2 linked regions of the Drosophila melanogaster genome follow. Each later gene encodes a partner of the first gene's protein in a complex. Each region holds a gene or a part of one and is shown on either strand. Other genes may lie near its edges.

Region 1 (5,878 bases):
GCCGTCTGGCTGGTGCCCAACATGGCCGGCCCATCGATACGATTGCGATTCAGATTCATTCACCCGCCATGACACCGATGTGCACACGGTTTTCTTGGGCCGAATGTCCGACGGCCATATCGCTTCGGCACAATGTAAACAATGAGAGTTGTTGGGCCCGGGGGACCTTATCAGTAAGCAGCATAGGCGGGAAAATAGATAGGACGTTGAGCAATCGATATTCTGGTGGAATCAAAACGGCCGAGCGATTAACAGATTTTAAGGGCTTTAATGCTAAGCACACACTCCCTGATGCAACTTAATGGTACACTTAATCCTAGACATTCCTCAAAGTATTCCCTATGTACAAAAGATATGGCAAAGAGAGCTACTCCTCATCCTTGATGCAGTTCTCGACCAAATCCCTCAGATTGGGGTTCTCCATGGCCGCAGCGATGCGCTCCTTGTCATTGATTTGCTTGTTAACTGGGGAAACGTAATCATTTTTACTTAGAACACATATGTATGATAATAGTATCTGGTTGGTCCAACTTACTCTCTTCCTCGGTTTGATGCGCTCCCTTCTTGATGTATATGTCTAGCTTTATGTTGTGCGGAAGTCCGCGTTCTACTTTCACGCGTATACAGAGTCCAATAAGCGTGGCCAACGAGCAATGTGGCACTGTGGGGTTAAACTCGATGCGAACCTGAAAGAATTAAGAGACAAATACCATGCATTTCAACTTTTTACTACACAAAAGATTTATGAGGTGTGGATTTAGTATAATACAAGTACTTTAAGCTATGAGATCAATTTTAAAGTCATTTTGAAGCTAAATCGTTAATCCTTTCAAATATTAAGCAACAATAGTGATGAAAGCAAATAAACACACGCGCAGATTTAACTTATGATGAAATGATGATTAGGGCTCAAGCTTATGGCTTATAAAGATATTGAGTAACGTACAACTGAGACATTGGAGCGCGTGGGCGGCATCACAAAGATTCCATCCTCGTAGACAACGTTGAGGTCCTCCAAAGTGCACGGCTTCTCGGGATCGCGAATGCCGCGCAACAGATCTGTGTAACGACAAGAGAAATTACATAACTAGGCCAAAGTGAAAAAGAATGCCATTAAATATCGAACCGTAGATGGTTTCCTGCAGTTCCGTCTGATTCTTGTAGCCCAGTTCATGGAGCAGTGCGTCCTCCCCGAAGGCAATGGCCTCATCATCCATCGACATCTGGCTCGTTTTGCGCACTAACTCGTCGGCGTTCTGGCTGCGTCCGCTGATACTGGCGCTGCTGCTGCCCGTACCGCTTTCACTGCTGCCCGTTCCGCCCGCTCTCCCACTATCGCCGCCGCACGACGACGTCACAGTTGCGACCGAACTGACGCCGCTGTCGGATTCGGAGAGCTTGCGCTTTATGTAGGACAGCATGTTGTGGCACCTGTGCGTGGTGTTATCTCGCCTGGTTTTATCTTTACCGTTGTGTGCTTGGGTGATTACAGCAGCATAATTCGGTCGGCAGGCGATCTATTTGCTTGGTAATTCTTCACTTTTGCGGTGCAAATTGTTGGAAATAAGCGATGGCATCAGCTGATTATTGTTTTTCTGCCGACCAGGGCTGCAGAGTAGGTATAAGTGCTAAGCCGTCTTCGATAAGTCTATCGATAGTGATATCGATACCCTGTCATCTCTGGCGCAACCATTTGAAATTCGTCATCCCTGATCCTCTTATCAGTTCTTGTCTGCGCTTTTGTCCAAATATTTGTTGTTTACCCACCAATTTTGCCGGCTAATAATTGGAAAAAAATTTATTTACAAGCTGAAAGACTATATTTTATTATAGCAGCGGTAAAAATATTCTGCAAAAAGTTTTCACCTGCACAGTGGGCGTTGTGGCAAGATGTGGACGAGTTGCAGCTGTCTAACCCATCGTACTTAAGTCAAAAACCTCGATTAGCAGGCTTTGCATATGTCAAATTCGCGCACTTTTCCTAGGCCGTCGGGTGCATCAGGAAATTATTCATTACGTTTTAGTTAGTCGTACGAATTGTTTCTTATTTGTGAAAGCTCGTCGAACAGAAGCAAATTTCGCTTTAACCTTTTGAAAAATAAAGGAAAAAGTTCGTAAAAAGCGAAAGAGCCCATCGAAACCAACACGAAAAAGGAGTTCAATAAAGGTGAGCCCAAAAGAAAAGTGCTAAAGTGTGGTGAAAGTGAACATACATACATACACATAAAAACATCTGTGTAAAAGATGGCGCCACTGGAAGAAAACCGTTAGTTGTAGCTTTGGGTTTAATAGACTCTTGAAAATTCGTAGCCCGTCACTTCATATCGAAAATCTAGTGAAAGCGGTTCGCGTTTTGCAAAGGAAATCGGTTCCTTAAAAAAAAAAAATTCTAGTGACTCAGCTAATTTCGTTATCCGAATTTTCTAGATTGCTTTTCGCAGATCATATAAGAAAATGGTTGCCGATAACATCGATGCCGGAGTGGCCATTGCCGTCGCCGATCAATCCTCGTCGCCCGTGGGCGATAAAGTTGAGCTGCCGGCCGGTAATTATATCCTGGTGGGCGTGGATATCGACACCACTGGACGTCGTCTAATGGATGAGGTAATACCCCCTGACTGCCGTTAGATCGTTCGTCGTTCGGTCCTAACCCCACTTGCGATAAACCCACAGATTGTCCAGCTGGCCGCTTATACACCCACCGACCACTTCGAGCAGTACATCATGCCATATATGAATCTGAATCCAGCTGCTCGCCAGCGTCATCAAGTTCGTGTTATTTCGATTGGCTTTTATCGTATGCTGAAGTCGATGCAGACTTATAAGGTGAGTCCAGTGCAGTCCAGTCCATTTAATAGTGGCAGTCAAGTATTGAAGCATCCACAATTCAACATACAATATCCTCTCAGATCATTAAATCCAAGTCTGAGATCGCTGCCCTCAAGGACTTCCTCAACTGGCTTGAGCAACTGAAGACCAAGGCGGGTCCCAGCTCGGACGGGATTGTGCTTATCTATCATGAAGAGCGCAAGTTCATTCCCTACATGATCCTGGAGTCGTTGAAGAAGTACGGCCTGTTGGAGCGCTTCACCGCGTCGGTGAAGTCGTTTGCAAACAGCATCAATCTGGCCAAGGCTTCCATTGGCGATGCCAACATAAAGAACTACAGTCTGCGAAAGCTTTCCAAGATCTTGTCCACGACCAAGGAGGAAGACGCGGCTTGCTCTGCGTCCACATCTGGATCTGGATCTGGCTTGGGATCTGGATCTAGTATGGTGTCCGATTCGGTATCGATATCCCCCAGGGACAGTACCGTGACCAATGGTGACGATAAGCAATCTAGCAAGAACGCCGTTCAGGGTAAGCGGGAACTGTTTGATGGCAATGCCAGTGTTCGTGCCAAATTGGCCTTTGATGTGGCCCTTCAGCTGAGCAACTCCGACGGCAAGCCGGAACCAAAAAGCTCGGAGGCATTGGAGAATATGTTTAATGCCATACGTCCGTTTGCCAAGTTGGTGGTGTCCGATGTCCTGGAGCTGGATATCCAGATCGAAAATTTGGAGCGTCAAAACTCCTTCCGTCCGGTGTTCCTGAACTACTTCAAGACCACTCTGTACCATCGTGTGCGTGCCGTAAAGTTCCGCATTGTGCTGGCCGAGAATGGGTTCGATTTGAACACGCTAAGTGCCATCTGGGCAGAGAAAAACATCGAGGGCCTGGACATAGCCCTGCAGTCAATTGGCCGGCTAAAGAGCAAGGACAAGGCGGAGCTGCTCGAGCTTCTGGACAGCTATTTCGATCCCAAGAAGACCACGGTGAAGCCGGTTGTCAAGGGTAACAGCAACAATAATAACAATTATCGTCGTCGCAATCGACGCGGCGGCCGCCAATCGGTGAAGGACGCTAGGCCATCCAGCTCCCCATCGGCTAGCACCGAGTTTGGAGCAGGAGGTGACAAGTCGCGCAGCGTTTCCTCGTTGCCCGACTCTACTACCAAGACTCCCTCGCCAAACAAGCCGCGTATGCACCGTAAGCGCAACTCGCGTCAAAGCTTGGGTGCAACCCCCAATGGACTCAAGGTTGCTGCTGAAATATCCTCCTCAGGCGTGTCTGAGCTCAACAATAGCGCTCCACCTGCCGTAACCATAAGCCCAGTCGTGGCACAACCCTCACCGACACCGGTGGCCATCACGGCCTCCAACTAAAATCCAGTTCTGGTGGATCCGTAAAGTAAATATCTTATATTGAGATACTTCTGCCATTTGCTTTGTAGATAACGTAGTTAACGAGGGGTAAGCCTTCATGTAGATTGTTGATTAATTTTATGAATTGCGTACACTTGCTTGTATTTTTAATGAATTTTATGCATCAAATATATTGATAAAAATGTAGCCTTTTTTAGCTAAATGTAAAAGGTTTTATTACATATTTTCAATATAAACTCACAACGCTTAAGCTAATCATTCAAATCACTTTGGGATTTTCGGGATTGAGTTTCCTAACCGACATTTTGCCATTTCAGTATATCAAAAAATGGATGATCAAAACACAAGAAGACAAGGGCAGAGAATGGAGATTTAAACCACATACGAACTTTCTTCCTTTTAGAAGATCTAGTGCAGACAAGCTTTAAATTCCAGTGGAAGCAAATTTCCCGTGAACACAACAAACACATCCGCGCACAACTCACGAGCACGTTGGTGTATCGATAGTGTGAGTAAACCGTGACTGTGACGTAAACAGTGACTGTTGAATAGTGATGACACAAGCTTCAAGCGACATTTTTGAAACGAGTGAATTGTTAATCGAGACGTTTGAAAACTATATTGTCCAGCATAGGGAGGATGCTGAGCCCACTGTAAACTCAAGAGACTATATATCCACACTTTAAAGCAGCGTATGCTAGAAATAATGATGGAGAAGAAGGAACAACAAATATGATGTACAATTAAGAACTCGCTGCGTTTAGGCATAGTTTTCCCGGCGAACCGATGCACATCGCCGCACTCAAATGGGAGATTGGGAAAATATGATCCAAAACGAAACGCCTCGATGAAAATTTTCCATTGGACGGGCCTGTCGACGCACACTATCAAAACTCTATGAATAAAACCCAAGATCCAGGCCTGGTCCAATGTAGAAAACTTTCACATTGAAGCTAAAGAAAGCACGATATAAAAATACACCAATCTAATACAGTTAACCTTACGCACGCACACGCACGCACACAGAAAGCATATTCAATTCGCACACTTAATCTAACCCAACACTTGTGAACATATCCAGTATTTCAAGCTGTATTTCATATATGTTTCATATTTACAATCAACAAACATATGTAATATCTGCAAAGGGCGCGAATAAACGAACGATAAACTAACGAATCAACAAACATATGTAATATCTGCAAAGGGCGCGAATAAACGAACGATAAACTAACGGTCAGCCTATCGCGCCGAGTCACTGTTTTCACTCTCGCAGGTGCACCGCTAGGTGTGACCGTATTGCCGCCTGGCCTGGAAAGAGTGGGCCTGTGTGGATTGCTTCCATACCCATACCTGGTGATCAGTGATCACCGATCAGTGCAGCATCGTCCATTTCCCGGCCAGAATGGACGTCGATCCCGCAGAAGAGGCGCCTCTAGACGAGGCACATACGTCCATATACGACGGCTATCCGCCCGATTTCGGCTACTTCAACATGGCCCACGGAATGCTGGTGGAGATCTCCGAGGAGATCCGGGCCAAGTTTCCCCACGAGCCGCGTCTACGTTTCTCCCAGCTAAACAACCTTCACCTAGCGGCCCGCAGTGGTCAGATGTTGAGCTTCGTCGAGATCTTGAATTCGGTTAGCTGCAGGGCGGTGCAGACCCACCTGG
Region 2 (5,593 bases), on another chromosome or scaffold:
CTGTGGTCGGAACAGTTTAGGGTGTTATCAAAAAATATAATTGGACTGCTGATGATGGAAGTATAAACAAAGAAATCGCTTTCGCCCGGTTTGCATGTATTATTTTCGGAAACGTAAATAAATCCCTGTGGGCAGCACTTGTTTACAAATCCAACACTTTGAGACGGCACATTCTTTTCGAATTCACAAGATAAAACGATGAGACGTCTGTTTAATAGTCCAATGCATGAGTTATTTCGCAAATTCAAGGTGCGTTCACCTAAATCACTTATACTCAGACTGCTAAAGTTCTGGCACTTTGATAGTGCGAATTGGCTGTGGCCTGAGTCATTGATAGCCTTTTCTAATCCAAGGCCCATTGGTGGTATCAATTTGCCTATCACTTGGGCAAGATCCGGAAGTTCACTGATGTTGCTTGCGGCGGAAGCGCACTGGTATATTTCCGCATTGTCCACAGTGCGGCGATATTTGAATAGTAACGAATTCGCGGCACAGCATAACTGAACGGCGAGCACTTTTGAAATGCCACTTAAAATCAGGCACACTAAACTTAGTCCGATGTTCATTGTTTACGGCTCGTCTATTATACCCAATGACCGATTTGCGAGCTTGTGTAATGTTTGTATCTTTTCTTAGAACGGACTTTTCATATCTTATCATTGAGGAATCGTTATCGGACCATATACACTTCGAACCGCATGCAGTTGCCGGATTTAACGAACTGAACTGAAGTCTTCGCGATTCCTTCGCGAGCAAATGCGAATGTTTATGGGTAAACATTTGGCCCGCACACAGACGGACATAGCTCGACGTATATAGGCAATACATTTATGGATTCTCGTAAGCCTATACAAATAAGTTATGCCCCATGGAGTGCCTAACACTTAGCATGCTGGGGGTGCTCACGGATGGTATCAATACACCCAAATGGCCGCATATTTATGTAGGTACTTTGTGGTTCTAACACATATCTATCTATCTACACAATTCAATTGATGACTTTGTACACTAGCTTCTGACGGCAAGACAAATGCGACTGCTCGTGTTAACATTGTGCAAAGCTCATTAAGGGGAAATTGATAAGGTACACAGATACACACATCCATACACACTTATGTACAGAGGTGGGTGAGGTAAGCAATGGATCCTTTAATCGTCTAAGTACTCTACGCACCATAAATCACCTGGAAAATGTCAACGATACGCAAGTATTTATCTTTTCAATTAACTTAAGTCTAGTTATTAGCTGACTTTTTTCCATATATTCTTTCATGACACAAACTAAAATCGCAAACATAAATGTCATTTTTATAATATACAAATCTCCTCTATCGCAAGTACTATTTATTTATTCTAATACAAATATATTAATTTTGTCATTCTCCAATCGGAATAAGTATAAATAAAGTATAAATCCATTGGTTAAGAAAAGAAAAATCAAAAAAATAATTTTTATTCATTTTAATGTTATTAGTTAGTTTCTAATGTGATCTTTCATTAAATATTTAATACTTATAAATTATAAATGAAAAGATATTCATAAAAATCGCAGACAATCAAATTAAAGCTTAACTCAGATGTTCTTCTTTCATACACGTTCGAAATCTTCCTGTCGTTCCTAAGTCCCGTTCACACAGGCAGCTGCTTCATCTGAAATGCAGTTCATATATTGTTTTTGTTATAATTAAACGGTGATTTTAACCCGGCCGGAGTGGAGTTGCTCATTGGAAATGCTTTTCTAAATTAATTTAAATTTAAAATAACGGCAACAGCAGCTAACACAACAAAAATGTGAAATATTTGGGTATACATATACACCTACAGGATTTATAAGAGGAAAATTTAAATGCCGATTTTTTTTAAATAAAATAATTCTTGCCTAAATATGTGGACTAATTTTAAAACGTTCATTTGTTTTTGTTAAGCCATGTATAAATTTCTACAATATTATTGTTCGTCATTTTGAACTTGCAAAATTTGTTTCATTCCAACGTTCCAAATCAGGGCAATACATATTTATTATCTACACCGAGTGAAAATATTTTCCGAGTCATCAGAAATTTGTATTATTGATAGCATGTTGTAAGGCGACTCGACTATTTTGAAGCTAAGTGAAATTTTATATTGAAACGCAAAGTTGAATACGTGAGCAGTATATGAAAATCGGTGAATACAGTGACTTCATTAGTCAGCCGAAAGCAAAAGAGAGCGAAATACATTTTTTAAACAAACTAAACTAAAATTTCACTGTGAATAATGATGACTGAAAAGTTAAATTCTGGGCACACTAATTTAACAAGCAAGGGGTTTGTATATTTTATATTTATTTATATTTTTTTTTTCACAAGAGGACCCAAGCTTGGTGTCCCAACAAACATAATATGCATGCGTATTCATCAGCCCATATTTATGATTAGATGCCGAAAAGACAAGCCGTTTTATAGTTTAGAACGTCAATTTTTGCAAATGATTGAGCATGTAAAAGCCGAAGATCTGTATTTTAGCAACATCATGTAGTTAGGCTGTTTTCACTCAACAACTAAACCTGCAGAACATGTTATCTAATGAAAAAAACCAAACAATGTGATTCCCGTATTTATATTACTTTATTGTATGTAGTAGCGGAACATGTGTACATATGTATAAAAGAGTTATCTACATATGTAGTTGCACTCGTGGACTTATTTACCGCTAAAAATGTTGCTAAATATAATTGCACTGACTTAAATCATTTAGAAACTAACACTGTATTTAGGTAAAACTTCTATTGGGTGATTCTCAACTTTTGAGATCAGAACAAAACAGGTATTTTTTTTTTGCATTTCAGCGCCATGAACAGTTATTCGTGGGCTGCCATTTTAAAATTTGGAGTAGCGTTTCTTTTTCTCTCCTCCATAAATGTGCGAAAGAGAAAAAATGTTGAGTTCAATCGCTTTTAGATTGTTCAGTTCTTAAATATTCAAGACATTATCCATCTTTGTTTACGATTTAAAATCAATATTAACATTATTATTAATATACATTAATACATGGCTTAGACTTTAGCTTAAAATGCACTTTACATAAAAGAACTCATTTACAAAATTTTAAAAATCAAAAATTTTTAATATATATATATGCTTATATATGCCATCCATATATATATGGATGTGAATGACCTACATATATCGTAATACTTTAATTACCATTTTATTTTTTTTCTTTTCATCCAGGATTATAAATGATCTTCAAATTGCTGGAAACACAAGTGACGATATGGGCTGGAAATCAAAGCTGAAGCTGCCGCCAAAGGACAACCGATTCAAAACAACTGTGAGTTTGCCGACAAATCAATCGGAATTTATACAATTTAAAGCACAAACAAACTAACAAATAAATGTATTGCCATTGCCTTACTCAGGATGTGACCGATACGCGAGGCAATGAATTCGAGGAGTTTTGCCTTAAAAGAGAACTGCTTATGGGTATATTCGAGAAGGGATGGGAGCGCCCTTCGCCAATTCAGGAAGCAGCTATTCCTATAGCATTAAGTGGAAAAGATGTGCTGGCTCGGGCCAAGAACGGCACAGGCAAGACAGGAGCCTACTGCATCCCAGTTTTAGAACAAATCGACCCAACCAAGGACTACATTCAGGCACTTGTGATGGTCCCCACCCGAGAGTTGGCGCTACAAACCTCACAGATATGTATTGAGCTGGCGAAACATCTTGATATCCGGGTAATGGTCACAACGGGAGGTACCATTCTAAAGGATGACATTCTTCGTATTTATCAAAAAGGTGGGTTTTGATGATAGTTAAATAACCTAATATCGGTTTAATTGCAACTTTCTAAATTTTCCCTACGCCTGCAGTACAATTAATTATTGCCACTCCCGGACGAATATTAGATCTGATGGATAAGAAAGTTGCCGATATGTCGCATTGCAGAATATTAGTTTTGGATGAGGCCGATAAGCTATTGTCGCTTGATTTTCAAGGCATGCTGGATCATGTTATACTAAAGTTACCAAAGGATCCACAGATCTTGCTATTTTCCGCAACATTTCCACTAACAGTCAAGAATTTCATGGAGAAGCATTTACGCGAGCCTTACGAGATCAACCTGATGGAGGAGCTAACACTGAAGGGTGTCACTCAGTACTATGCATTCGTACAGGAGCGCCAGAAAGTACACTGCTTGAATACGCTCTTTTCGAAGCTGCAGATCAATCAGTCTATCATATTCTGCAATTCCACGCAACGTGTCGAGCTATTGGCCAAAAAGATCACAGAGCTTGGATATTGCTGTTACTATATACACGCTAAGATGGCCCAGGCACACAGAAATCGAGTATTCCACGATTTCCGCCAAGGACTCTGTCGCAATCTGGTGTGCTCCGACCTGTTCACCCGTGGTATCGACGTGCAGGCCGTGAATGTAGTAATCAATTTCGATTTCCCACGAATGGCAGAGACATACTTGCATCGAATTGGTCGCTCAGGACGTTTCGGTCATTTGGGTGAGTTTAATTGCATTCTCATATTATAGTTTAGCCTATTTACAATCTTCGTTTCTCATTTTAAGGTATTGCTATTAATCTGATAACCTACGAGGATCGGTTTGATCTGCATCGGATTGAAAAAGAACTTGGAACCGAAATAAAGCCTATTCCGAAGGTCATAGACCCCGCCCTTTATGTCGCAAACGTTGGCGCATCCGTTGGCGATACTTGCAACAACAGTGATCTGAATAATTCTGCGAACGAGGAGGGCAACGTTAGCAAATAAAACGGATATGCCCTGTGTAACGCTAGTATCTGAAATAGAGTCTAAATCGTGGAATCAATAAAAACAGATGAACTATTTCAGAAATCAAAATTGTATTAAATAAATGGAAAGCAATTCAATTTTTAAATGCGCTCTTAAGATAACTGAAATGACTGGTCTATAAAAAAAAGGCTCGTTCACTTTGTGGGTTTTGGTGCTGAGAAGTATTAACATTAACTATTGGGGATTTGGTAAGGAAAGTTAGTCGAATGCTATTAAAAGGCAGGCTAAGGTCGTTTAATATCAATCCAGTTTTTAGTAAAGGGTTTAAATCAAATAAAAGGTCTAAAAGTAATTACAGGATTTTCGGACAAGAGAAGTACACTTGGATCAAGCTAAATCCTAGATTTACTTACATGGAAGAATTACCATTGGCAATTACCCGATTTACTAGATTCCAAAAAAAAAGTACAAAGGGATCATTATAATTTAAATAAAATTTATTTATTAGCATCCAAAATTGTAAGCTTTGCTTGTCAGAATATTTACAATAAATGTACAATATTAAACAAATCATATATATAGGATAGGGTCATAAATTTCAAAACTTTACGTATTAAATATGTTCGATGAGGAGGAAGAGGAGTCGGATTGGTCAAAGTCGATTTTCGCATAGGTATTCCCATCCTCCGGGCATGCGGACACCGGCGGCGATTCGCGTGATCCTCTCTTCAGGTATTTAGCTGGATTTTGGCCACTGCAATGGGGAAGATCTAGGCTGGCGTAGTGCAGCTCCGGCTGGGATATGCGAGACGACGACCTTGAGGGGAAATTCAAATCTTTAA

The links.
Region 2: exu (region 1) and me31B share a complex: the UniProt entries of both Drosophila melanogaster proteins name them as parts of the osk RNP complex.

What each region holds. Positions count from the first base shown.
Region 1 is NT_033778.4:20,666,927-20,672,804, reverse strand, and holds exu (exuperantia), read left to right. Parts: upstream 1-2,043; 5' UTR 2,044-2,167; exon of another isoform or gene 2,168-2,169; intron 2,170-2,313; exon of another isoform or gene 2,314-2,427; 5' UTR 2,428-2,454; coding exon 2,455-2,604; intron 2,605-2,673; coding exon 2,674-2,826; intron 2,827-2,909; coding exon 2,910-4,205; 3' UTR 4,206-4,230; exon of another isoform or gene 4,231-4,453; intron 4,454-4,522; 3' UTR 4,523-5,378; downstream 5,379-5,878. Other genes in the region: galla-1, read right to left, coding at 368-465, 536-686, 947-1,059, 1,127-1,421; Fem-1, read left to right, coding at 5,611-5,878. UniProt on the Drosophila melanogaster protein: Ensures the proper localization of the mRNA of the bicoid gene to the anterior regions of the oocyte thus playing a fundamental role in the establishment of the polarity of the oocyte. May bind the bcd mRNA.
Region 2 is NT_033779.5:10,237,280-10,242,872, forward strand, and holds me31B (maternal expression at 31B), read left to right. Parts: upstream 1-2,061; 5' UTR 2,062-2,256; coding exon 2,257-2,306; intron 2,307-2,659; exon of another isoform or gene 2,660-2,805; intron 2,806-3,212; coding exon 3,213-3,312; intron 3,313-3,400; coding exon 3,401-3,779; intron 3,780-3,853; coding exon 3,854-4,501; intron 4,502-4,566; coding exon 4,567-4,769; 3' UTR 4,770-4,893; downstream 4,894-5,593. Other genes in the region: mthl15 (methuselah-like 15), read right to left, coding at 1-566; chico, read right to left, coding at 5,358-5,593. UniProt on the Drosophila melanogaster protein: ATP-dependent RNA helicase which is a core component of a variety of ribonucleoprotein complexes (RNPs) that play critical roles in translational repression and mRNA decapping during embryogenesis, oogenesis, neurogenesis and neurotransmission.